Rattus norvegicus: one gene and its partners. The protein of the gene in region 1 interacts with the protein of each later gene in a pairwise test. Links are inferred from orthologs where the notes say so. Each region holds a gene or a part of one and is shown on either strand. Other genes may lie near its edges. The genes, in order: Trim41, Top3b, Fra10ac1, Chd2, Gpatch2l, Ehhadh and Zbtb48.

Region 1 (4,042 bases):
ACTACACTACGGAAACCGCACTGTTTACAGCGCTGCTCGGCAAGCTCCTAAAGCTACAATCGGACAGGCTTGCGTCCACTTCCTAAAACCAGATTTGCCCCACTAAGGTTCATGATCTTAGTACGTTCAATTAGAGGTGTTCTGAGGTCACGGTACCCAACTAAATCTGCGCTCAGAGGATATGGTGCATCAATTATTTATGACCCCCAGACTAACAAAAACGAGATTAAAAAAAAAAAAAAGCTGCAAGAGAAATGCTTTGGGGACCACAGGGATAGGATTCTCTCACAAATAAGTTCCACAACACAATTCGGGACGCCTCTTCCCCTTAGACTGAAATTCTCAGGAATACAAATCTCAAAAGCATTTCGGATGAACGACATGAAAGGTGTGCACGGCCCACAGAAAGTATTAAAATTGGAATAACCCCATTACGCTTGGAAGATATTTCTAAAGAGAACACACGGACTTGTTCCAAAGGATATACAAAGAACTACGTAATCGGAAAAGTGTCTTTACTGACTGGCCAGCCTTCCTAGAGAAATTCTACTGTCTTCTTCCCTCCACAGACGAGAATATGGTAGAGTAGCTAACTTCAACACCTCAAAATCCTCACGAAATTCTGTGAGGTAGCAACTATGGTTTACTTTGTATGATTTATTTTATATTACTACATATTTACTTTGTGTAGACATTCAAAGTACCAAATACACTTAACATTACTTGCCCTCCTATATACTCCAGTGTTCAGCAATCTGCACTTTTTACTTAATTTATTCCGAAGATTCCTTTTATATAGCTGAACAGTGTTCCATTTAATATGAACGTGGATATTAATAATAAGTAATGGGAGAAGTGACCAGTTGACAGGGTTTTTGTTTTGTTTTTTGTTTGTTTTGACTGGTTGCTGGTTGTTGTCTGGGACAGGGTCTCACTTTGCAGTTCAGGTTAGATAAACCTGGAACTTGTCACAATTCTCCTGCCTCACCCTCTCAAGTGCTGGGTTTATAGGAGTGCTGTAGTTCGCCGGCAATGTTGCAGTTCCTAAAACGGACACGAAAATGCCCAGCACAGAAGGAGGGCGGAGCCCCTCTAACTCCAGGCTCATCATATGCCGTCAGGCTCCGCCCAAGATCCTATTTGGAGGGACCCCCGGAGTCTCAAACGAACAAGTTTTGGGTCTAGAGGGGCCGGAAACATTGGAGGACGCTGAGCGGACCCGCCCCTCAGCTTCCGGCTCTGGTCCTGGGAGTCCCTTCTGCAGTCGTCCGTGCCTGGTCGGTAGGATGGCGCTAGGCCGCTGCGATTGTAGCACGGAGAACAGGGCGCTGCTCAACGTCCTCGCTACCCTCCGCCGTCTGTCCCCGCTGGCAGGGCATGGGGGCTTCTTCCGCTCTGTACGCGTTCTTCGCGGCCAGTCATCACCGAGATGTGGGCCTCCGCCGTCCTAGCCCTCCCGTCCTGTTCCCGCGTGTCAGCTAGAGCGTCTCCTCCTCGTTTCCTGTCGCTCCGGGGCTGGGCGTGGGAGAAGGGGGCGTAACACACCCTCGAAGGGAACTCGTGAGTTCAGGTCGTGTGGAGACGCCGGAAGCGTTGGGAGGGAGGCCGGAAGCTGGGGGGCGGGGCCAGGAAGTGAGGAGGGGCGGGGGTTTATGAGGAGGCCAGGGGAGCGTTGGGGCAGATTTGCACTCAGGTCCACCTGAGGTACTTGTCGGTGGTACTCACCTCTGTCCCCTCCCTTCTGTGAGACAAGGTTGTCGTCTCGGGGTAGGGGACTGTGTGTGGAGGGGCGGGCTGGTCGGAGGACATTCCTTTGCCTCGCCGCAGGCAAGGTGTGGAGAGGCTGGGCTTGGGGTGGGGACGGGTCTTCTGGGCTTCAGAGACGGGAGACCCCCCCGCCCCACCCCCCCGCTCCCCCCACCGCACTTCTACACTGGCTGACTGGACACTAAGATGGCTGCCGTTGCCATGACACCCAACCCTGTGCAGACCCTTCAGGAGGAGGCGGTGTGCGCCATCTGCCTCGATTACTTCACGGACCCCGTGTCCATCGGCTGCGGGCACAACTTCTGCCGAGTGTGTGTAACCCAGTTGTGGGGCGGGGAGGATGAAGAAGACAGAGATGAGTTGGATCGGGAGGAGGAGGAGGAGGTCGGAGAGGAGGAAGAAGTGGAGGCTGTCGGGGCAGGCGGGGGTTGGGACACCCCTATGCGCGATGAAGATTATGAGGGTGACATGGAGGAGGAGGCCGAGGAGGAAGAGGAAGGTGTGTTCTGGAGTAGTGGTATAGGCGGGTCTAACTGGGACAACATGGACTATGTGTGGGAGGAGGAGGAGGAGGAGGAAGAACTGGACTATTACTTGGGGGATGTGGAGGACCTGAGGGTGGAAGATGAGGATGAGGAGGAGGAAGTCCTGGAGGAAGACGAGGAAGAGGAGCTGGACCCGATCACCCAACTGCCACCACCTCCAGCCCCTCGGAGGTGCTTCACTTGTCCCCAGTGTCGAAAAAGTTTTCCTCGGCGGAGCTTCCGCCCCAACCTGCAGTTGGCCAACATGGTCCAGGTGATTCGGCAGATGCATCCAACCCCTGGTCGAGGGAGTCGTGTGAATGAACAAGGCATCTGTCCCAGACACCAAGAAGCCCTGAAGCTGTTCTGTGAGGTGGATGAAGAAGCCATCTGTGTGGTGTGCCGCGAATCCAGGAGCCACAAACAGCATAGTGTGGTGCCATTGGAGGAGGTAGTGCAGGAGTACAAGGTGAGTAAAAGAGAGGAGGCAGATGTAGTTAGGATGGGAAGGAGGTAAAGAGAATTGGGGACGGGATGTGGGTTCTCCTAACAGGACCTTGTCATTGAAAACTGATTCTCCCTGTCTAAGCACTGACTTCAAGGTGGGTAAATGAGAAGGATCCTCTAATTTCCTTTGTGGCTTAAGGATAGGGGGACTAGTGACAGGGAGTGCTTCACTGCCAGTACTGTTTTCTTCTGGATGAATCTGACATGGGTAAGACTTAAGATTGCAAGAAATGGAGACCTAAAGAACAAGTGAAGGGCCTGAAACAGGAGCATAGAAATAGCCAAGTGTCAGATTAAAAAAAAAACAAAAACCACTTGTCTCTCAATGGTTTCCACACCTCTCCTAGGATATGGCTTTGTTGGCTTTTCTCCGCACCCAGTCTCATGTATTAACCAGAAAAGAGAGAGGCTCTTAGGGCAAAACATCTTGCTCAAGTTTGAGAGTGTCTTTGAACTTTCATTACCACAGGCATATTAGTTAATATTCACAGGACACCTTACATATAGTCAGAACTGTGCTGGCCACTTTTTATAGATTATCATTTATAATTCAAAGACACTGTGAGTTTGATGTTTGCTATTCTCATTTTATTGATTGGGAAACAGGTTTAAGTTCTGAACATGGAGTTTATATGCTGTACAGCCTTAGTGATAGACTTTGATGTGAACGTCCTCCCTTTGGGGCCTACATCCTACTTGGATATTTAGTTTGACTTTCTGACTTGACTGTTCTTGGAGTGTAATTTCATTTGGTTAACTGTCTGGTTATTTCTCTGATCCTTTGGACATATGTGAAGGACATTTATCTATGAGACATCCAACACAGAACTACCTTCAGAATCGAAGCCAGGAACTAGGAGTGTGGAGCCTCTGTCAGGCCAGAGCTTTGTTATTTGTGATTCGATCAGTAACTTTATTTAGGTGGTCATCATTAACAGAGCTTTAGAGTCTGAGGCTTCACAGCTGATCGTCCGCTACTCGAGGAGGTTTGCAAACGTACAGTAGGCCGTACTGCAGAAGTTCAGAGTCAGTGAGAGTATCTATAGAAAACAGCCTAAGGGGGATTTAGCTCAGTGGTAGAGCGCTTACCTAGGAAGCGCAAGGCCCTGGGTTCGGTCCCCAGCAATGAAAAAAAGAGCCAAAAAAAAGAAAGAAAGAAAGAAAGAAAACAGCCTAAGATGGGCATGCAAGCCTCTAATCTGAACACTTGGGAAAGCGGAAGCAGGAATATCAGTTCAAGGTCA
Region 2 (2,437 bases), on another chromosome or scaffold:
AGTATCTCCCCCAGGAAACCCTGCCCAGGTACCCAGGGAAAACATTCTCCGGCCACCACTCCACGTGTGTATGCATTGCTGAGTTCCTTTTTACACCCCTGACATCACACAGCAGATGCATCCCCTTCACTTTTCCATCTCTGCCAGGAAACTTGTACAGGGTGAAAGAAACTGCGTCCCTGGGGTGGGAACATGCTTGCTTTGGGTGTGTGAGGGGTCTAGAGAGTGGGAGAAAGTCAGAGAGATGGGTGAAACCAGCTTGGTTCTACAGTAGCTTTGTGAGCTCTCTGGTAGAAGCTGGATCCTGATGTCTAGAGGGCCACAAGACACAGTTTCTGGATAGAAAAGGCCAACTCCTGTTTACTGGCTTCAGAGGATGCCCTCTCTGGGCTTCTGTCTTTTAACTAAAGCTTAAACACTGGTGAAGGCTGTCCTTGGGTTCACAGGTATGCCCCAGCACAGTGCAGACACAGCCCTGCTCTATCTTGGACATGTTTCTACATCATGGCTTCTGGCAGCCATACAGGAAGTAGCAGTCTGGACCTAATGAGCAAACAGGCTTCACTTTGTGGCCCTGCCCCTTATGGGTGTCGAGGAGGGATTCTGTGACGGGTGGAAGGCACTAGAGGGCATAGTCCAGACCATCTCCTTGGGCAAACTGCAGAGTACTGAGCAGTGCTGTGCATTCCAGGGACGGATGCCAGTATCCCTGTGCACATCAACAACATCTGCCAGCGCAACTACGTCACAGTGGAGAACGGCCGCCGGCTCAAGCCCACCAACCTCGGCATAGTTCTGGTGCACGGCTACCACAAGATTGGTGAGTCTGTCTACCCACTGCCAACCTCGACATAGTTCTGGTGCACGGCTACCACAAGATTGGTGAGTCTGTCTACCCACTGCCAACCTCGGCATAGTTCTGGTGCACGGCTACCACAAGATTGGTGAGTCTGTCTACCCACTGCCAACCTCGACATAGTTCTGGTGCACGGCTACCACAAGATTGGTGAGTCTGTCTACCCACTGCCGTGGCCTGCGGGGTTTCCTGCTCCTTCCTGTGCTCTGCTGCCTCCTGCCGTGACCCCGTGCTCTCATGCATTCCCCAATCCCCACTGCTGTGGGACTCAGGCATTTGATGGATGAACACATTGTAATGGGTCCCAGGGTACAAACCTTGGGTTCTTCACTAAGATACCTGCCAACTCTGCCCACTAAAGTGCCTTGTGCTCTATGGGAGATAGAGAAGTACATCATGGACCTGGCCATTCTGCAAAAGATTTCTACACAAACTTTCCTGATGGGAAGTTGAGGAAAAGTCTGGTAGCAATAGGAACTGCCCTTGGTGCCTTCCAACTCTGTGGACCAGCAGCCCAGGAAGACTGGGTCAGAGCTAGGTTGAGCAGGACAGCAGTTCTTGCCTGCCTCGTGGGGCGGCAGAGTCCTGGGTGCCCACAGCCACTCCACCCACTTGTTCACAGATGCAGAGCTGGTGCTCCCCACCATCCGCAGCGCAGTGGAGAAGCAGCTGAACCTTATTGCCCAGGGCAAAGCCAACTACCACCAGGTGCTGGGCCACACCCTGGATATCTTCAAGAGAAAGTTCCACTACTTTGTTGATTCTATTGCTGGTAAGACCTGCCTCTTCCCTGCCCCTCATCAGCAGCTACTCCCACAGGACAGAGCTACCTGAGGCCTGCCCCAGATCTGGGCTCTGAGCCTCTACCGGTCACAGCAGTGATGCCTCCTCATTTGCTGTTGCCAGGAGCAGGTTAATTAATATCAGCATCAGGAACATACAAAGCTGGTGAGCAGGGCTTTGGCTCTGCACTCCATCACTGACAGAAACACAGTCGCACTTGGATCCTTGACCATGTGTGCTGGCCTCTTTGTCTAGTTCACCCAGTTTTACCAAGCTGCCTGTTGGAGGGGGGCTGCCAAAGACCCGGAGGGACATGACCCCTGTGCTCTGCTTGCTCTCAGGCATGGACGAGTTAATGGAGGTATCCTTTTCACCCCTGGCTGCCACTGGCAAGCCCCTCTCGCGCTGTGGGAAGTGCCATCGATTTATGAAGTATATCCAGGTATGTGGAGGTTGAAAGACCATAGCACACCTAGCCAGAGCATTTCTGTTCAGATATCACCCTAAGCCTCTTGTCATTAGTCAAGCAGAAATAATGTTCATTGTCACATATAATGATTAAAAGGCCTGAATCAGCACCAGTAAACAACATAAACCACCAGGCCATATATACAGTCTATTCACTTTCGCCACCATTCACTCTCCTGCTGTCATGAGTATTAGTAACATACTGGGGCTTTACATTTACCGTGTGTGAGTGTGTGTGTGTGTGTGTGTGTGTGTGTGTGTGTGTGTGTGTGTGTGTGTGTGTGCTTGCATGCATCCGTGCGTATGTATAGGAGTCAGTTCTTTCCATCA
Region 3 (3,500 bases), on another chromosome or scaffold:
TGTTACATTAGCCTACTGAGCAGTGACCGCAGAAACCACTACTGCAAAGCCTGCAAAATTTGTCATCTAGCTCCTAACAGAAAAAATTAAGAGTTCAAATAGCATGCCCATTTGTGGTAGTTGGAGAGTTTGAACCCAGACCTTGAGGTGTTTGGGCTGCCTCCCCCTTAGTTTCATGTCCTTATTAAGTACTCTATTAGAATACACTGTGTCAGGAACATCACTGTGTCTGAAGGAGGTCATCCCTGAAGCTGAGACAGCTCAGTTTGCCCATGCCTGAGTATGGAGAGTGCTGCCAAGGTTTTTAAGTGAACATTAAATGTCCATATATCTTGTTATTTCACATGAAAAATAGATACGGTTTTGTGGATTCTCTGAATATTAAAAAGAGAAGAAAAAATATTACTGTGATTTCTTTTCTGTTTGAGACACTCTCTTACCCTGAGGCCCAGGCTGGCCAGGAACTCTAGTTGCTCCCCCTGCCTCTGCCTCTTGAATGCTGGTATTCGAAGTGGGAGCCAGCGTACCTCCCCTCCTGACTGCTTATGCTTGTGTTTCGTTCTTGAAACCTTAATGTTCGTGGGATTTAATTTTATAAACATATCCTATATTTATATACTTTATCATTAATTATTACGTTGTGTAATAATGGAAGATAAATTCTAATTTTTACCATTAATTTAGAAGCCCCAATTTCCATGTTTGATTATTAGACTGGATGAGAGAATAAAGCTGTGTGCAGTCTAGAAGCAGAACAGAAAGCTCCCTCTTTCCCCTCAGTCTATACAATTTTACCACAGAATAATGCATGCATGAAAAAGGTTCCAAACATTACAGGTAATACATGCTTGAAATGTTTTCAGCAGAAAGTGGAAGTCTGCTGTGCAGGTGTCCCTCATGATTTGCACATTTAAAAATGCTAGATAGACTCATGCCATGTTTTCTTTTTATTTAGTAATATATTACAATGGAACAACTTCTGAACAGTTACAAAAATCCTTAATGTTTTGCATTTCAGTATCAAAGGCACACAAAGTTTGTAAATGACTATATTTTGTACTATGGTGGCAAAAGAGAGGACTTTAAGCGGTTGGGGTAAGTATTGGGAAGTTTACAGAGGATGATAGGGCAAGTGCAGATGATCTTCGAGGCCTCTATTGTAAATTACTTGGCAACAGGCCTCGGGAGTGTCCTCATGATTGAACAAGAATGATGTTGGAAATAACAGTACATGTGAGAATTGCTCTTGTGTCTTGTTGATGGGACCTCTGAAGCAGTGACACATTTAGACAGTAGTGTCCAGGATTGCTTTTGCAAAAATAAGGCAGTGTCCAAAAGACTCCCCAAACACAGTCTGTTGCTGTTGCCCTTGGTCTCTTCCAGAGGTCCAAGAAGTCCCTACTGCTGAGGACACCAGACACTTAGACACAGGGTTCAGATGACCCGAGATGATTCTGATCTGAAAGCCTCCTTTCTAAGGACTAGCTTTCATGGTACAATTGAAAATGTGGCCATGAATTGGAGAGCAGTGGGGAGGGTATGTGAGAGGAGTTGGAGGAAGAAAAGGTAGGATGGAAATGATGTAATATTTATAATCTCACAAAAGTAAAAGTGTTATTTAAAAAATAAGGCAATCAGGAAACTTCACTCGGGATTCCCATCCAAGAAGATGCTTCCTTTGTTGAGGCTCTGAGTCTTGCATGGACTCTCTCTGACTTGACATCTGAGTAGGTAGTCCTAAAGACGTTAACACTGCCTCAGTCACCCCACTTTTATCTTCCCTGTCCACTGAGCCCACACCGCTCAAATGTTTATTTATTCTGCTTGCAAGCCAGGCCTCTTTACTTTTCTTCCTTTATCGGTCTTTCCAGGAACCTAGTAAAGTGATGTAACATTGTGTCCTACTGAGAGCTCTGTTCTGAAATTTGTTTTTATTCACATTTCCTCACTCAGTGTCCATGTGAGCTTTTGTGTCCTTGCTTTGGTGGCAAAGCGCATTTGTGTAACTAACCCACTATAGAGTTGGTCAGATTTGTTTCTCTATAGAACTCGCTCCTTTCATTTTTTAAGTACTTTCTAAAAATATTGAAATATTTGTTTTATTTAAAAATTTCCAAATAAAAGTATATTTTTTATATTTTTATTCAAATTTTCAAAAATTTCATCACTGTTTAGCCTAAATCTGTCTAGTTTTATTTTTATGCTAAATTAAAGTTTTTATTTTCTAGGGAGAATGATAAGACAGATCTGGATGTTATACGAGAAAATCACAGATTCCTATGGAATGAGGAGGATGAAGCAGACATGACTTGGTAATTTTACTCTAGTGTGTGTGTGTGTGTGTGTGTGTGTGTGTGTGTGTGTGTGTAGGGCAGAGGACAACTGGGAAGAGTTCTTTCACCATGTGCTTCTCAGGCTTAAACTCAGATCATCAGGATTCGTGGCAGAGCCTTTCCTAATTAGACTGGCTTGCCAGTCTGAAGGCTTGGCGATTTTTGCCATTAGAATCTAATGGAACAAGTGTTATAGTCTTATCTTTCTTACTCTGTTTTCTCTTTTATTATGTGTGTGTGTGTGTATGTGTGTCTCTGTGTGAGCAGGTGCATGCCTTTATACACATATGTTTGTGGGAACCCATAGAGGCCAGAGGAAGCCATCCGATTGTCCAGATCTAGAATTATAAGAGGTTGTGAGCAGCTTAGCATGGGTGCTGGGAACTGAACTAAGGTCTTTTGAAGTACAACACATGCTCTTAACCACTGAGCCCTCTCTGCAGTCCCAATACATGTTGTCTTAATCATCATTTATCAGGGTGTTCTGCTCTTTCGTGGACAGTTTCTGAATCAAGAAGAGAAATCTACATTTAGGACTCTTGATTCTGGTTTGTAATCTTTGGCAATTTTAATTTCAATTGTAATTGTTTGACCTAGTCTTCCAAAATAATTATGCTATTGTCTGTTGTCTTATAATAAGCTATTATGTGTTCCTTATAAAATGCTTTGAATAATTTGGGAAAGTAAAATACATGAAAGTGGTTTTCAAGGTCAGACATCACTGAGGATAATAAATGAAGAGTAATTCTCCAGCTCATTCTCTGAGAGCCGCAACAGTTCATCTCCAGACAGTCGTCATATTTGTCTGTATTAGGCCTCTTTGAGCATTAATATTTATATCATATATACATCATCTATTTGATATTTTTTCCAAGTAGCAAACTATGGTTGGATTTCTGAATGTATAATACATACTTTTTATGGATTTAGGGAGAAGAGACTTGCAAAGAAATACTATGATAAATTATTCAAGGAATATTGCATAGCAGATCTCAGTAGATACAAAGAAAATAAGGTATGCCCTATGAATATTTATGGCTAGAGCTCTTGTTCAACTATAGCATTGATTCTTATTAACTACCATGACCCACATTATTCTTTCATGGCACTGATTTGAATCTGTTATCTTGAACTTTGGAATATCATTTTGACTGCTTAACCTCTGTG
Region 4 (3,500 bases), on another chromosome or scaffold:
CATCCCCAGCCTACTTTTATATTGTTTTTGTGGAAAAGTGTGGTAACCAAAGGGTTAGTTGGGCACATATGTAGAAGTAAAAATACAACAAGAGTCAATGATGATTAAAAGTTACATTAAATATAAATAATTATGGCATGGGCTGTTGAATTTGCCCAGAGAGTAGAGTGTGCCTGCATGTGCAGTCCTTGAGTTTGATTGCTTAGCACCAGACAAAACTGAACATCACTGGGCATGCCTGTAATCCCATGCTTCAGGAGGTGGAGGCAGAGGAATCAAGAGATTAAAGGTCGTCCTTGGCCGTGTAGTGAGTTCAAGGCCACCCTGGTTTATACATGACTTGTCTCAAAGGAAAAAGAAAGAAAGCGAAAGTAGAGGATGAGAGGCTGGAGAGAGGGTTCAGAGATGAAGAATGCTCACTGCTCTTGGAGAAGACCTGAATTAAGTTCACAGCACCTAGGTTGTGGTTTGCAGCTGCCTGTGACTCCTGTTCTCAGAGATTCAGTGCCATCTTCTCACCTGGAGCATCCTGTATGCATGTGGTCTACTTCAGTAACACACACACACACACACACACACACACACACACACACACACACACACACTTTTTTGCTGGTTTCTATAATTTGATACTTTGTAATTAGCTATATTGTGAGAAATATTTGAAACTAGATACTTTAAAACAGACAGGAAAGATGTCTCTGAATTTTAAATTAGAAACTGAATATACAAGCTTTTTATTGTTCGATTGATTGTACAAGTCTTCTCATGGAATTTGCTGAAGTCTAGAAATATTCCTGGTTCCTTGGCCTGTATCTTAGAGAAGTGGAAGTTCATGTTACTAACATGAACTCCTTCCCGTCTGTGGAAGACAGGGTGTGACTGCTGCTCAGGATTGTGGTGCAGAGGCCATGGTCAGCATAGAACAGAGGTGGAGATGTGGCTCCAGTGGGCACTGGAAGAGGTTTCCTGAGGAAAACAGCCAGTGCTTACATTTCCTCCACCTCTTAGAAACTGTTGTTGTGCTTAATAACGAATGAGACAGTGTCCTGGAGCCTGAGGGGTAGGCTTTGTACTTAAGGACAGTTGTTGCTTTTGCAGAAGACTGAGCTTCCGTTCCCAATGCCCACATAGCAGCTCATGACTGTCTAGTACCAGGGTGCAGTTCCAGGGGACCCGCCACTCTCTTCTGATCACCTCAGGTACTAAGCCCACATGTGCTGCACATACATACATGCCAGCAATACATTCATGTCATACACTTAATAAGACTTCCAGAGTTTGCTGTATTCTTTAGAAAAGGTGACAACATCAAGGTAACTCTGAGTGTCACACAGTAAAGGATGAACAAATTAAGAGCAAATTAATGTTCACAGATTTATGTCAGAAAAAGAATATATTTAAAAATACTTTATTTTAGGATCAACTCTGGGAACAGAATAGGAAGGGTGAGGTGAGGCGACAGTTCATACCTGAATTATGACTAGTATTGTAGTTTAAGATCAAGCAAAAATGTTCTAAGACTTATGCTTTGTTAATTTTTGTTTCCCAGGCACTAAAGCAAAGACCACGGTTTGTAGCTTTGAAGAAGCAACCAGCATACTTAGGAGGAGAGAATCTGGAGCTCCGAGACTATCAGCTGGAGGGTCTCAACTGGCTTGCTCACTCCTGGTGCAAGTAGGTAGAGAATATGGTTAGATTTTCTCTGTTGTGTTTGGCTTATTATTATCCTAAGAGCTAAGTGTAGGCAATTTCGGCTTGGAGGGTTTGAGTGATTCAAGGGAGGCGTGATTCCTCTGTCATTCATTATGTGATACCTCATGTCAGAGCTTCCTTCACTGCTGACAGCAGACTTTTCCCGCACACAGTTTTAAAAACATTTTTATTTAAGTGTATGGGTATTTTCCTGTTTGTATGTCTGTGTACCACTTGTGTACCATGTACCTAAAGAGGCCAGAAGGAGGGCATTGATATCTTGGACCTGCTTGTGAGCTGTCGCATGGGTACTGGGAACTAAGAACTTAGACGACACTAAAGAGATTGTGTGGGCTAGCCCTTTTATTTTATAATTGGTGGTGCTTAGGAGCAAAGATAGCATGAGGTTTGTTCAGAGTTGCACAGTATTTGCTACGTAGTCCTTCATTAGCATGTTTTGTTTGTTTGAGGTAGTTTCTCAGTGTAGTTCTGGCTTGCCCTAGGACTCAGTATGCTCCCCAAATTGGCCTTTAACTAAAAGTCATCTGTTTATGATTTTGGTAAATTAAATGCCTTGTTTTTGTAGCTACTATTATTAGCTAATACTATTTCTAGTAGTAAATATTTTTAATACTCTGGTTCACCAGTCAAGCACATATACATGCAAACCAATTCATTAGGCGCAGAAACTTGGCTGCAATACAGTCCCAGTAGCGTGAGTCTAGCTGAGAGCAGGAAGGGTTGATCTGCTTTCTCGTAGCTGTGTCTCTCCAGGCACAGGAACAAGAGTACAAACACCTTCAGGTCTATGTGTCTTAAGCTCCACTTGACAAGGATTATCAACCAGCCATAGCTCCTGAAGTGAGTCCAGCTGCCAGCTCTTGCCTTCGCTTGGCTTTGTCTTGTGCTGCTTCTACTTTATAAGCAAGTATACGGACATTTGTGTACCTCGGGAGACATGGTGAACAGCTGCAGTTAAATCGTGCACATGTTTCTGGGTTAAAGGGTCAGAAAAGATAGTGGGAGACATGGCTCAATGGTTGAGAGCATTGACTGCTCTTCCAGAGGTCCTGAGTTCAATTCCCAGCAATCACATGGTGGCTCATGACCATCTGTAGTGGCTCCTATTCTGTCTTCTGAAGACAGCTACAGTGTACTCACATACATAAAATAAACAAATCTTAAAAAAAAAAAAAAGAGTCAGAAAAGAAGGAGAGACCCACCAAGAGCCTTCCAAAACTAGTCTGGGCCAAGTCAGTCCTCCAAGAGGGAGTTGGGCTTTGAAAACAGGAAGGAGAGCTGGTGTCTACAGGGAAACAGGAGGAGTCCCCTGCCAAAGAGAGCAAGCCGCTGAGGGCTTAAGCTGAACAGATGGCAATGGGGTTTAGCTTGGGAAGGACCCAGATGAACTGCAGTACCCAGGAGAAGCATAAAGTCATAAACAACCAACAAATATCAGAGTTGTGAGGGTCCTTGGCAGCCCCACAGTTCTGGTACTGAGGGAAACTCAAAATCTTGGGCTAAGGTGGACATTGTGGTACTATTTTTATTTATTAATTTTTAAAAAAAGTTTGCTTACATTGAATGTGACCTGTGTGTACTTATATACTTGCATTACTGAGAAGAGAGAATCCTACTTCCCTACTCCCTGATGCTGGGGACTGTCTTTAAATAGTTAGGCTTTATGGCACATGGCTTTCCCCTTTAGCCACTCACTGGCCTGTAATAATGTTTACAGACTACGGTCAGACTAGATCTCTAATTAACTGCCATATAGGCTACTTTGTATTTCCCAAACATAGTTT
Region 5 (4,156 bases), on another chromosome or scaffold:
CTAATAAGCCAAAAGTTATGATTATCATACTTATGCTCTGTTATCACAGTGTTGTGAAATTCCACCCATCCACCTCCCCTTATCTTGCTCAGAACCAGTCAGCTTAAAGGTTATCTGATAATGCAGTACTTAGTAAGCCAACTGCTCCTCTCCTTGCTTTTTAAACTTTTGAACTTAGTTCTGACTCTGATACCACAGTCCTTTTTTGGGGCCTGAACATCCAGTATTGCTTAACTGAAACCAGTGTTTGTTTTGAGTGGCGATTCCTGAACCCAACACAAACCAAGCTGGGGAGGAAAGGGTTTATTTGGTTTATACTTTCACAGAATTGTTCATCATTAGCAGAAATCAGGATAGGAACTCAAATAGAGCAGGAACATGGAGGCAGGAGCTGGTGCAGAGGCCGTGGAGTGATGCTACTTACAGGCTTGCTCCTCATGGCTTGTTTAGCTTGCTTTCTTACAGAACCCAGGACCACCAGCCCAGAGATGGCAGCATCTACAATGGGCTGGGCCCTCCCCCACCAATCACTAATTAAGAAATGTCCTACAGACTTGCCTGCAGCCCTATCTAATGGATTCATTTTCTTAATGAACTTAATGAACAAGGAACTCCCTCAATATAGAAAGACATTCCATACATTCTGTGTGTGACATATACAATGCCCTTAACAGTTTTGAGGAATACTGGTGAAGTGTTCTGTAGGCTAGTTCTTAACCATACGTGGTGTAATTTCTTTCGTTTGCTTTTTCGAGACAGGGTTTCTCTGTGTAGTCCTGGTTGTCCTGGAACAAACTCTTTAGACCAGGCTAGCTAGCTTCTCCAGTATAAAGTGACCCCTTTGATATTGCATTATTCAGAGAGAAGCTGCTGTGCACAGTTCAAAATGCTCCAAGAGAGCCTATGTCTTCTACAGGAAATGTATTTCTACGGGAAATGTATCTCTTTTCCACTTACAGAATATGGAATATCAATAACCACTCAATATGGAGTTAATATTTCTTTAATGCTTTGAGTTATAATACAGTATGATTTGCTTTTTGCTCAAGCCATGTACACTTTTAATGTCATGAGTAACTTAATGTGAAGGCAGACGACCCACTTCTTAAGGTCAGCACCCTTAGGGAGAGGTTTTGTCTCATTCAGTCCTAAGGGTATCCTCACCCCATACTAGCCCATCTGTCCTGACTTGCCTCCAGGCACTACTTCCTAGTTTCCCAGAGGCCCCGCCCACCGTGGAGCGGAAGTAGGCGCACCGTAGGGCGGAAGTGCAGGGCGGGCGCCTGTCCTTTCTTGTAGCCCGCCCCCTCCCTTACCATTTCAGCCCCACCTCTTAGGCCCAGACCGGAAATGAGGTCAGAGAGGGAAACCCAGGCTGGGAGCTACGGCCCCGAAGGCGGCGCCGGGTGCAAGCGACTGCGGCAGCCGGTGAGGAGCAGGATGGCGGCGGCTGGGCCAATGCCGGGCGGGATAAGGGCTCCGGGTTGCGTCAGGGCGACCGACGGCGCCGCTGGGCTGTGGCGAGTGACAGAGGGTGGCGGGGCCTGGCTACCCTAGGTGCGTCTTCTCAGCCTGGGCTCTGAGGGACGGCCGCCTCCGTGGGAATGTCCCTTAGATGGGCGACAGCGAGAACTCAGGCTTGGTGTCCCGGGCAAGGGTTTCCCTAGCCCCCGAGGACGGGCTGGAAATGGAAGAGAGTCCTTCAAAACGCGGCTTTTTTTCATATCCGTGGTGGTGCTGTGATACCTCTCTCCCCAGCATCAACAGAGGGAATGCAGTCATTAGGACAAGATTTGAGACAGTTTCTGCCCTAGACAGCTGACCTCCAGTCTCAGGTGAACTCAAATAAGAAGTTGACTTCTGTCTACCCCACCTCTCGTTACTCTGACTGGGAGAGTAGCTCGCTGCTTTGCGGCCCACCAGCGTCCTGTGACTCAGACCAGGGTCTCCAGGGTGTACTCTTGAGAGTGAGGCTGGAGGTGTGGGTGTACCAGGGTACCTTTGAGACGCGGAAGAATTCTATGTCAGCTTCTGATGACACGTTGTTTAGTATACTTGTCCCACGTTAAAGTTTGTGCAGTTCTGCCTGAGTTTCAAAGCTGTAATTCTTTATTAGAGACTTAGGCGTGTTGTTCCCACTTGTTTATCAGCTTCGGGCTTAGGGACAGTTGTCTTCCAAACCGCAGTCCTGGCATTTTAAACTACTACCGGTTGCTAAAGGGAAATGGTCTTTTATGTGTAAGGCTTTTGACCCTTTGAGGAAGTTGCCGTGGTGGTTTTGGAGCAAGGTGGCTCTATTGCTCTCACAAGTGTGACACATAATCCAGAAGACTTTTCCTGCTTTTGAATTTGTTGACATAGGGACCCTGTGAGATTAATTTTTAGAAAGCCCCTTGCAAAAAGTAAATTGCATGAAGGGAAATACGGTCTGAGTTCAGCTTTAAGCTCCAATTATGGGCAAGATGTATTTTGAGCTTACCAAGAGCTGGAAAGAAAGTGCTATTTTAGCATACAAAATTTAGGTGTTGTGCAGATGATATTAGACATTTCTTTTTGAAAACCGAAAATTTGAAAATTGCCTCTGCTAGGCATGCCTGGAAAGGGTTGCTTCTGTTAGCCAGGTATCTTAGAGATTTTATGCTGTCCCTCCATTTTGGTTTCATTTATGTCCCAGATTTTGTGTGATTGGCACTAAGCACATAATTGGGGTGACTCAACACTATACTACTAGTACTGTTAGTGTTTCTATTACTACTACTGCTGCCACCACCAGGATGAGGGGTCTAAAAGTCCTACACTGCTGCTCCTGCTACTACTAATATAACAACAACAATACAACAATGCTAGCAACATCAAATCAGTGTCATACTCCACAGCAGTTTGTTTCTAATAACTTTCAGGTGGCAGTTGGTACCATGGTAGTACCAGACGTGGGCTTCCTTTTTTTTCCCCCATTCTGAGTACCTACTTGGGTCACCGAAAGTTCTGGGACTATGAATATCGTGAAGTCTTCTTCATAGGTGCCACTCAGCTCTTTCTCTCCTCCCTACCGCAACCTTTTTAGCAGAAATCCCAGACCTCAGTGTGACCCTCTATCGTGATTGGTTCATGCCTGGTGCTCTCTTGGCTCTACCGTAATGATGAAGTTGTGTGGTTTGCTTTTCTTCTCCAGTGATTAGGCAATCAAGGGATCACTTAATTGGAGAAAGGAGGAAGCTCAATTTGTTTATTTTTGCTAATGTCCTAGTTGTCATCTGGCAAGCTACTGGATATGTTGATTTCCAGTACTCGCCAATGGCCAGACACCTGCTTTTTGTGGTACGTGGATGGTAGAAACGGTAGCTGATGAAAGAAGTCTATTTTCTGTAGCCAGCCAGGGAGCCCAATAGCATTATGTGCTTTATAAGCTTTCTGGAAAAGCAGCAGGTCTTTTAAAGCATCTCTTCTGCTTTTATTTGGCAGATGTGGCCTCATGGATGAGCTGGTGCATGACTTAGCCTCAGCCTTGGAGCAGACATCTGAGCAGAGTAAGCTTGGTGAGCTGTGGGAGGAGATGGCCCTGAGCCCCAGACAGCAGAGGCGGCAGCTTCGGAAGCGCCGAGGCCGGAAGCGCCGTTCCGACTTTACTCACCTGGCTGAGCACGCCTGCTGCTTCAGCGAGGCCTCTGAGTCAAGTCTGGATGAGGCCACCAAGGACTGTCGAGAAGTGGCTCCGCTCACCAACTTCAGTGACTCTGATGACACAGTGGTGGCCAAACGGCACCCAGCTCTCAGTGCCATCGTTAGGGGTAAGCAGCACTCTTGGCATGAATCTGACTCCTTTACGGAAAATGCGCCTTGTCGACCCCTCAGGCGCCGGCGGAAGGTGAAGAGAGTGGCATCCGAGGTGGCTGCCAGCCTTCAGCAGAAGCTGAAAGTGTCAGATTGGAGCTATGAGAGAGGCTGCAGGTTCAAGTCTGCCAAGAAGCAGCGTTTATCCCGATGGAAGGAGAATACTCCCTGGACCTCATCTGGCCATGGGCTGTGTGAATCAGCAGAAAGTCGGACTTTCCTAAGCAAAACAGGAAGGAAAGAAAGGATGGAGTGCGAAGCAGAGGGACAGAAACACGGCTCCGACGAGAACATGTCCGAAAGGTGAGCTCTCCCTCCGTAAAGC
Region 6 (4,119 bases), on another chromosome or scaffold:
ATTTCTGTTTTGGGACACTCACAGAGGGACTAATTGTTAGGATTGTGTGTGGCTGGGTTGTGGAGGAGCAGGAAGCATCAGCACTGGCTAAGCCTGATAGGAGCTGCCCTTCGAACTTTGTCCCCTAAATGCCTCACTTGCCTTTTGCTGATTCTGCTCCCACTGAGGTGCCGACTCTAAACAGCCAAGAAGTTTAATGGATTCATCCAGAAGCTTGCACCAAGAGCTGACTGTGGGAGACACCACAGAAAGTTCTGTGCTCAACTAAAATAAAAGTGCAGACCCGATGGCCACATGGAGATGTGCTTATTATCGCCCCCTTGCTCCAAGGGGGTGGGATGTAATAAGGCTACTCAGTGCTATTAAACCTTGAACGCTACCTGCTCAGGTTCCTAGATGCTGGCACACCAGTATCTCCTAGACACCAGTATCTGAAGGGAGGTAAAGCTGAGGTTAATGCTTCTTATAGGAAGCGAGACCTGGGCTGGCTGTGAAGACTTCTGCCAACCGAACACACTAGGAGAGTTTGGGGACTAGCCATGGTTTTAGAGGCAGCAGACAGAGATTCCTGTCGCTTGTAAGTAGCTGCTTGCTACAAGGCTGTTGTCATCGCTGCCATCTGAGGGCACACTTGAGTGGCTGGCTCTCCTTGACACGTGGGCTACGATTGTTGGAATGAGTCTGACTGATGCTCGATGCTTCCCGGGACTCAGCGTTTTTCTACTAGCCAGAACCTTTCTTAGTTTCAAGAAGTAACGCACCCGGAAATAATATTTAGACATTGTTAAAACGTGCAAACATCAGCGAAGATTTACAAGGACGCCTTTACTTGTCAACCTGCACACTTGTCAACACTGTCATCTGGCTACTTGGTGGACTTTGGCAAACATGAGAAGCCATACGCAGCTGGAAGGACCGTGTCCCAGCTGAGCTTTTAGAGGGAAGAGACAAGGCATGGTTTGTTGTCATACCCAGCCTACATTCAGCCCATAATATGTGTGCAGTTCCTGGACGAACTGTGAAAAATCCCAGCCTTTAGAAGGGACAGAACCAGAGAAGGCAGGGCCTTCTGTGCCCTGGCAAATGACTGCTTTGTGAACAAGTGGTTGACTCCGGTGGTGTGATCCAGCAGCTCAGCTTGCCTTTGGACAATCCCTTTACTAGAGGAAGAGGATCACCCTCCTTGGAGCGCAGCCGGCCCGGCAGAGCACGAAGTGCAAGGGGCAGGAGGCAGTAGCAGCGGTTCCCATTGGCCCAGCGCGCGCCCCTCCTCTTGGGGCCGCCCAGAAAAGGAGCCCTGGGCTGCCCCAGACGTCAGAGGTGCAGGATACCTTGAGAAAATGGCTGAGTATCTGAGGCTGCCCCACTCCCTGGCGATGATCCGCCTCTGCAACCCGCCAGTCAACGCCGTCAGGTAACCCCGGGACCGCGGGGTGTGGCGGGTCTGGGTGGGGGCTTGTCTCCGCTGGAAGCACGGGCCAATGGGCAGCTGTCCGTCTGTCCGCTGGTGACCTCACGGCGTGTTTACGTCTGGTTCTGGCGTGTCTGGAACCCACAGAGGTGAGTCTGGTGCAGCAAGTGGCTGTCTGAACCCCCTTCCTGCAACCCTCGTGCTGGCTTGCAACCCCAGCGTCTCTGTGAGGCCAAAACCTATAGTTAACTGACTTGTAGAAAAGCAGAGTTTGGTTCCTGTGCGTGTCAACTCTCCTTGTCAGAGGAGGCCTACTGAATAGTATTTTCTGAAAGGCTGAAGTTTACTTCACCTGCGATACCCTCCTGTGCAACGCTCTTAGCACATTACCGTTAAAAATGAGATCTGTTGTCTTTTTGAAAAATGATGTTCATTTACCCTGTTCATTTTTTATCACCGCGAATAGAATATAATTCTATATTAGCCCCAGGAGGAGGCTAATATAATTAAAACCCATATATAACCCATACATTGCAGAAGTAGTAGACAGGATTGTGACGGAGACTGTATAATTTTGACTGGTGAGACCTTGCTAAAACCCTTTTCCTAGGTGACACCTTACAGCCTAACGGACAAACCTGGGTGCCGTTCTAGCCCTGTTCACTCTGCAGGGGACCAGTGCAATGGGCTTAGGCTAACTTGCAGAACAGGGTGGTATGGGGGAAGGGGAAGAAGCCCCAGTGACCTTAGAGCTCCCACATTGGAAGCAGCCTCCGCAGCAAAGATCATGATTCCCGGTGGCTGCTAAGAGCCCCCTCCCCTAATCCTTCTCTGCCTATATCCTCTAGTCCTCTCCAGCGACCCGAGGGTACGATCAGGGCAAGGAGGGGTGGCTGGATAGTCTGGTAGTGTTCTGGTCCCCCCCTTCCATGACAATCAACTACCAACAATGATCTTTGGCAAACAAACTCACCAAACTTGCAGCGATTTGACTGGGAGAATTGTCCCGTACAACGGATGAGAACAGCTAGCCATTCACCAGAGAGAGGGCGTTTGCGAGAGGCCAGATAAATGATTCCTCCTAAGTCTAGCTCAGTAGACTAGTGACTTTACTGAAGTTAGTTACAAGAATATAGTTACTTCTAAAACAATGGAACCCCTGGAAGCCAACCGCAACACAATGACTCATGGGACTCCTTACAATTGCTTCTGCTCCTGTAACCTGGGCGAGGGGCCTTATGCACCTTGCACGTTTCTGAGCTTCCTGAGCATCCTGAACATCAGACAATGTGTTTAGCTCCCAGTACCTTGTTAGTGTCTTTAGCTTCCCGGTCTTAGCCTTTCGCCCCTTCCAGGAAAGAATGCTTCAGTCCCAAGGAAGTAACTGCACAGCAGCAGAATAAATAAAGCAAAAATGGGCCATTTGCTGAAAATTCCCACCGCAGGCTGCCGGAGCAAAACCAAACAGATGCCAGGTTGGCACATTCGTGGAATCGCAGCACTCAGGAGGCTGCAGTAGAACCGTTGATCTAGTCAGACCCCGTCTCAGAACAAACAAACAAACAAACAAACAACATAAAAGAGGAGTCATGTTAATTTTAACTAAGATTTAAACCACACTGTTATTTGATCTTATTTTTTAAAGATCTGTTTATTTATTTTATGGGTACACTGTAGCTGTCTTCAGACACACCAGAAGAGGGCATCAGATCCCATTACAGATGGTTGTGAGCCACCACGTGGCTGGGAATTGAACTCAGGACCTCTGGAAGAGCAGTCAGTGCTCTTAACCGCTGAGCCATCTCTCCAGGCCACATTTTATTTTTTAAGCTTGAAAATTATTATTATTTTATGTGTATGGGTCTTTTACCTGCAGGTATATCTGTGTATCACATGCTCTGGTGTTGTTTGGTTTTTTTGTTTGTTTTGAAACAGGGTCTTACTTTGCAGTTCTGGCTGACCTAGACTAACTATGTGAACTAGGGTGGCCTTGAACTTGCCGAGAGCCACCTGCCTCTGCCTCCCAAATATTGGGATTAAAGGTGTGTGCTACTACCCTTGGCTTAACCTGTACTTACTTTAATGTGAAGGATAGCATTGATTAATACATAATACGCAGAAATTACTGGCCACTTTGGGGGGGTGGGGCGGAAGCAAACTACTGGTCACTCCAATTTCATTCAGCTCAGAAACCAGGAAGTGGTGACCACATGTGTTTTCACAAAGAAAGCATAAGCAATATGATTCTGTATCCACATGGGGGCTCATGGACTGACAGGATTACTTGATAAGGGATTCTATTGAATGCTCTTCACGAGGCACTATGTCCATCAAGCGGTAAGGAGGGAGATATCCCACAGTCTCACAACTATTCCTTCTGGTGCCAGCCGGTGTGTTTCTTAGCCTGCTGGGTCCCTCCCCAGTTGGGAGAACGCTTAAGTTAAATGAAACGGAGATTATAAATTATTCCACACTTGCAAGGCCTCCTTGAGCAGCCTGTGGTCAGTCCCCTGTAGTAGCCCCCCTTCTGAACATCTGCTTCAGCTTTGTGGAGATTTTTTTCTTCTCTTAGACCATGCGCTTCCCCATGTGTTTCTCTGAACTTTAATTTTAGGTAAGTCGTTCATCCCATTTTAATGGCTTAGCATCCTTGTTTTTAACCTTAATTTTCTCCCCTCCCTTTCTCCATCTCTCCCTCCCACTCTTTC
Region 7 (4,279 bases), on another chromosome or scaffold:
CTGCCAAGGTGCAACTCTCCCAGAATCTTGCAGGACCTGGACCTCCCTTCCCCCATCTTCCCCTTCCTTCTGCTCACCTGGCTCTCAGAAACCTTGTCTTCCCTTTCAGAGCTTCACATCTGCCAGCCTTGTGGAACAGAAGAATGGGCACCCAAGGAGAGCACTACTTGCTTCCCACGCACGGTGGAGTTCTTGGCTTGGCATGAACCCATCTCTTTGGTGCTAATAGCAGCTAACACGCTATTGCTGCTGCTGCTGGTTGGGACTGCTGGCCTGTTTGCCTGGCATTTTCACACACCTGTAGTGAGGTCAGCTGGGGGTAGGCTGTGCTTCCTCATGCTGGGTTCCCTGGTGGCCGGAAGTTGCAGCTTCTATAGCTTCTTCGGGGAGCCCACGGTGCCCGCGTGCTTGCTGCGTCAGCCCCTCTTTTCTCTCGGGTTTGCCATCTTCCTCTCCTGCCTGACAATCCGCTCCTTCCAACTGGTCATCATCTTCAAGTTTTCTACCAAGGTGCCCACATTCTACCGTACCTGGGCCCAAAACCATGGTGCAGGTCTATTCGTCATTGTCAGCTCCACGGTCCATTTGCTCATCTGTCTCACATGGCTTGTAATGTGGACCCCACGACCCACCAGGGAATACCAGCGCTTCCCCCATCTGGTGATTCTCGAGTGCACAGAGGTCAACTCTGTAGGCTTCCTGTTGGCTTTCACCCACAACATTCTCCTCTCCATCAGTACCTTCGTCTGCAGCTACCTGGGTAAGGAACTGCCAGAGAACTATAATGAAGCCAAATGTGTCACCTTCAGCCTGCTCCTCAACTTCGTATCCTGGATCGCCTTCTTCACCATGGCCAGCATTTACCAGGGCAGCTACCTGCCTGCGGTCAATGTGCTGGCAGGGCTGACCACACTGAGCGGCGGCTTCAGCGGTTACTTCCTCCCCAAGTGCTATGTGATTCTCTGCCGTCCAGAACTCAACAATACAGAACACTTTCAGGCCTCCATCCAGGACTACACGAGGCGCTGCGGCACTACCTGATCCACTGGAAAGGTGCAGACGGGAAGGAAGCCTCTCTTCTTGTGCTGAAGGTGGCGGGTCCAGTGGGGCCGAGAGCTTGAGGTGTCTGGGAGAGCTCCGGCACAGCTTACGATGTATAAGCACGCGGAAGAATCCAGTGCAATAAAGACGGGAAGTGTGTGTGTGTGTGTGTGGTTTCTTGTCTGCTCTTCCGGTGTGGGGAGAGCTTGGGACCGCACAGCAAGCGGGAGTGGGAGTCTAGGGCACAGCTTGGTGTTACCTGGCAACTCCGGACTTGAGACCCAGCGCAGTTGAATTTACCCCTTGCCCCGCCCTCTATGCTGCCCATTGGCCTTTCTCTGAGGCTCCGCCTTCGAGGCGGGACCTAAGGACTTTGCGCCGCCGAGGCGTCCGGTTCTGGCCTGAGCGCCTATACGTCACATCCGGCGCGGCGACGGCGGCGTCTCCGCGCTGTGGGCCGGGCAGTAGTTAGTCTTGTGGGCGGTGGAAGTGGTCTAGCCCGGAGCAGTGAGGCCGGTGCGAGCCGGGAGGACCGGCAGGGTGAGGAGGGCGCGGGAGGGAGGCGCCTCGGGCTCTGAGGAGAGTGTGGCCGCCGCCTTCCACTTGCCGTCCGCGACGTGCAGGCGCGGCGTGGGCTTGGGTCACCTGTGCGCAGCCGCCGCCCTGCCCTTCTGGCTGTGCGTTGGGTGCGCTACAGATCAGTTGTCGTCCACGCTTTTCTGTCCCCCAAACTCTCATTTTCATTTTCTCCCACCAGCACCCTATCCCGACGGACCCAGTCCTGTCTCGCGCCATGCACTTCCTCTCCCGCTCTCTCCCCTCTGGCCAACCCATGCCGCTCCCCGCCCCCAAGAGGCTGTCACTCCACGCTGGCTGTGTGCCCCGTGTGCACCTTCTAACCTTGACCCAGGCCTTCATCCCGACATGGGTGGATGTTTAAAGTGTCCATCTCACCCTCAGTCTAAAAGGGCTTCCCCGATTGGGGCTGGCCAGAGTGTCATGTTTGCCTTCCCTTCCAGATTATGGATGGTTCCTTCGTACAGCACAGCGTGAGGGTTCTGCAGGAACTCAACAAGCAGCGTGAGAAGGGCCAGTATTGCGACGCCACGCTGGACGTGGGGGGCCTGGTGTTCAAGGCGCACTGGAGTGTCCTGGCGTGTTGCAGCCGTTTCTTCCAGAGAATCTACGGGGATGGCTCAGGGGGCAGTGTTGTCCTCCCTGCAGGTTTTGCTGAGATTTTTGGCCTCCTGCTGGACTTTTTCTACACTGGCCACCTCGCCCTCACCTCAGGGAACAGGGATCAGGTGCTCTTGGCAGCCAAAGAGTTGAGGGTGCCTGAGGCTGTGGAGCTATGTCAGAGCTTCCAGCCCCAAACCTCAGCGGGACAGGCACAGAGTGGACCGGGCCAAGTTTCCTCCCAGGATGTGAAAAGCCACCTCAAGGAGCCAACAGACTTGGATGAGGAGGAAGTTTTCAGGACTCTGAGCCTGGCCTCTGTGGATCAGGAGCCCAGAGACGGTGAGCAGCCCCAGCTCAGCACACCTGCCCAGAGCAGCCCGGCCTTCCTCTGTGGGAAACTCAAGCAGGTGTTGAAGCCTTCTCCCCCAGCGGACAAAGAGTCTGAGGACAGCAAAGAGCCCCCAAGGCCTTTTGAAGCTGAAGGTGCCCCACTGCAGGGCGAGAGCAATGAGGTACTGTTTCCAGGGTGCTGAGCTGGGGAGGCAGGCATAAGGGTAAAGACCGGCACTTCTGGAGCAGACATAGGAAGCCAGTGGTCTCAGCTGACCTCCTGCGAGCTACACTTGTCCATGGTTGCCAGCTTCCTTGGGGTGGAGTGAGCATCAGGGTTACGGGTATTTCCTTAGGTTAGTCAACCTGGCTGCTAACACAGCCATTGTGCTCCAAGTCCAACATTGCCATTTTCTCTGGACCCGGAGGGAAAGGGTCTCTGCTGAAGGGACTGTCCAGGGGGTGGGGCTTATGTTGGAGTTAAAGGCAGGTCCCTGCTGATACCTGGGTGACCCTATCCCCTCCTGCTGCCTCCTCTACTCTAGTGGGAAGTGGTGGTTCAAGTTGAGGACGACAGGGATGGTGATGGCGATTATGCATCTGAGCCTGAGACTGTGCTGACCAGGAGGAAGTCAAAAGTGATTAGAAAGCCGTGTGCGGCAGAGCCAGCCCTGGGTGCAGGCTCCCTCACAGCCGAGCCCACCGAGGGCAGAAAAGGTGCAGCAGTTCCGGTCGAATGTCCCACATGTCATAAGAAGTTCCTCAGCAAATACTACCTAAAAGTCCACAACAGGTAAATGCTCTGTTTCTCTCTATTTTCTTTCCCTATCCGCCCCTCCACGTTGTGGGAAGGGGCCCTGTACTCCCCTGCTCTGGGCTCTGTGGTGCTGGGGGTTCTATGTCAGGCCCTAATAGTGCCTGGTCACCTGCCCCCTCTTCCTGTCTTCCTGTGAATTATGGGTTTGTGGACACCCGGTCAGTAGATTCTACCCATTGTGGAGTTTGACTGACCATGGGCAGGCCTCTGCCCACATGAAGCATGAGACAAGCCTCTGGCCCCTTCCCAAGCTGGAGCTGAGGTCTGATAGGCAGTGTAGGCTGTGACAAGAGGCTGATCTTAAGGAAGGTCGGAGGCTGCCTGTGTCTCTGAGAGTGCTAGCTCTGCGTGTCAGTTATGTATGAGGGGCCATTTGTCTAGCTCTGTGTGTCAGTTATGTATGAGGGACCGTTTGTCTAGCAGGGACCCTGGAGGGCTTGGAGGTTTGTTCCTCTCGTTAGCTTTGTAGGGCTTTTTTTTTTTTTTTTCTTTTTTCTTTTTTCTTTTTTTTTGGAGCTGGGGACCAAACCCAGGGCCTTGCGCTTGCTAGGCAAGCACTCTACCACTGAGCTAAATTCCCAACCCCCTTTGTAGGGCTTTTAATATGTTTGCTTGTTTGTTTTTTGAGACCAGGTTTCTCTGTGTAACCCTGGCTGTCCTGGAACACTCTGTAGACCAGGGTGGCCTCAAAATCACGGAGATCAGCCTGCCTTTGCCTCCGGAGCTGGGATCAAAGGTTGTGCCACTACCACCTGCCTCCTCTCCACTTCTTTTTCCAAGTTGACTTGGAACTTACTGTGTAGACCAAGCTGGCCTAGAACTTAGAGATCTACCTGTATCTGCCTCCTGAGTGCTGCTATTAAAGATGTGCACCACCATACCTAGTCTTAGGACTGTTTCAAAACAACAAAG

Evidence for each region.
Region 2: the proteins of Trim41 (region 1) and Top3b interact in binary tests that used the Homo sapiens proteins (3 or more experiments, as listed by UniProt). The two-hybrid records come from large-scale screens. The link is inferred for Rattus norvegicus from reciprocal best matches to the Homo sapiens genes TRIM41 and TOP3B.
Region 3: the proteins of Trim41 (region 1) and Fra10ac1 interact in binary tests that used the Homo sapiens proteins (3 or more experiments, as listed by UniProt). The two-hybrid records come from large-scale screens. The link is inferred for Rattus norvegicus from reciprocal best matches to the Homo sapiens genes TRIM41 and FRA10AC1.
Region 4: the proteins of Trim41 (region 1) and Chd2 interact in binary tests that used the Homo sapiens proteins (3 or more experiments, as listed by UniProt). The two-hybrid records come from large-scale screens. The link is inferred for Rattus norvegicus from reciprocal best matches to the Homo sapiens genes TRIM41 and CHD2.
Region 5: the proteins of Trim41 (region 1) and Gpatch2l interact in binary tests that used the Homo sapiens proteins (3 or more experiments, as listed by UniProt). The two-hybrid records come from large-scale screens. The link is inferred for Rattus norvegicus from reciprocal best matches to the Homo sapiens genes TRIM41 and GPATCH2L.
Region 6: the proteins of Trim41 (region 1) and Ehhadh interact in binary tests that used the Homo sapiens proteins (3 or more experiments, as listed by UniProt). The two-hybrid records come from large-scale screens. The link is inferred for Rattus norvegicus from reciprocal best matches to the Homo sapiens genes TRIM41 and EHHADH.
Region 7: the proteins of Trim41 (region 1) and Zbtb48 interact in binary tests that used the Homo sapiens proteins (3 or more experiments, as listed by UniProt). The two-hybrid records come from large-scale screens. The link is inferred for Rattus norvegicus from reciprocal best matches to the Homo sapiens genes TRIM41 and ZBTB48.

Annotation. Positions count from the first base shown.
Region 1 is NC_086028.1:33,684,633-33,688,674, reverse strand, and holds the start of Trim41 (E3 ubiquitin-protein ligase TRIM41), read left to right. Parts: upstream 1-1,242; 5' UTR 1,243-1,953; coding exon 1,954-2,760; intron 2,761-4,042.
Region 2 is NC_086029.1:97,603,161-97,605,597, reverse strand, and holds part of Top3b (DNA topoisomerase 3-beta-1), read left to right. Parts: intron 1-691; coding exon 692-820; exon of another isoform or gene 821-1,006; intron 1,007-1,478; coding exon 1,479-1,628; intron 1,629-1,980; coding exon 1,981-2,081; intron 2,082-2,437. UniProt on the Homo sapiens protein: Releases the supercoiling and torsional tension of DNA introduced during the DNA replication and transcription by transiently cleaving and rejoining one strand of the DNA duplex.
Region 3 is NC_086019.1:245,403,384-245,406,883, reverse strand, and holds part of Fra10ac1 (protein FRA10AC1 homolog), read left to right. Parts: intron 1-1,018; coding exon 1,019-1,095; intron 1,096-2,228; coding exon 2,229-2,312; intron 2,313-3,263; coding exon 3,264-3,348; intron 3,349-3,500. UniProt on the Homo sapiens protein: May be involved in pre-mRNA splicing.
Region 4 is NC_086019.1:136,665,336-136,668,835, reverse strand, and holds part of Chd2 (chromodomain-helicase-DNA-binding protein 2), read left to right. Parts: intron 1-1,552; coding exon 1,553-1,677; coding exon of another isoform or gene 1,678-1,681; intron 1,682-3,500. UniProt on the Homo sapiens protein: ATP-dependent chromatin-remodeling factor that specifically binds to the promoter of target genes, leading to chromatin remodeling, possibly by promoting deposition of histone H3.3.
Region 5 is NC_086024.1:111,613,075-111,617,230, forward strand, and holds the start of Gpatch2l (G patch domain-containing protein 2-like), read left to right. Parts: upstream 1-1,356; 5' UTR 1,357-1,428; exon of another isoform or gene 1,429-3,462; 5' UTR 3,463-3,472; coding exon 3,473-4,134; exon of another isoform or gene 4,135-4,156.
Region 6 is NC_086029.1:92,745,090-92,749,208, forward strand, and holds the start of Ehhadh (peroxisomal bifunctional enzyme), read left to right. Parts: upstream 1-1,319; 5' UTR 1,320-1,340; coding exon 1,341-1,414; intron 1,415-4,119. UniProt on the Homo sapiens protein: Peroxisomal trifunctional enzyme possessing 2-enoyl-CoA hydratase, 3-hydroxyacyl-CoA dehydrogenase, and delta 3, delta 2-enoyl-CoA isomerase activities. Catalyzes two of the four reactions of the long chain fatty acids peroxisomal beta-oxidation pathway.
Region 7 is NC_086023.1:167,813,487-167,817,765, reverse strand, and holds the start of Zbtb48 (telomere zinc finger-associated protein), read left to right. Parts: upstream 1-1,479; 5' UTR 1,480-1,581; exon of another isoform or gene 1,582-1,727; intron 1,728-2,060; 5' UTR 2,061-2,063; coding exon 2,064-2,732; intron 2,733-3,095; coding exon 3,096-3,343; intron 3,344-4,279. Other genes in the region: Tas1r1 (taste receptor type 1 member 1 precursor), read left to right, coding at 110-1,041. UniProt on the Homo sapiens protein: Plays a critical role in transcriptional regulation and chromatin remodeling. Acts as a regulator of telomere length. Directly binds the telomeric double-stranded 5'-TTAGGG-3' repeat.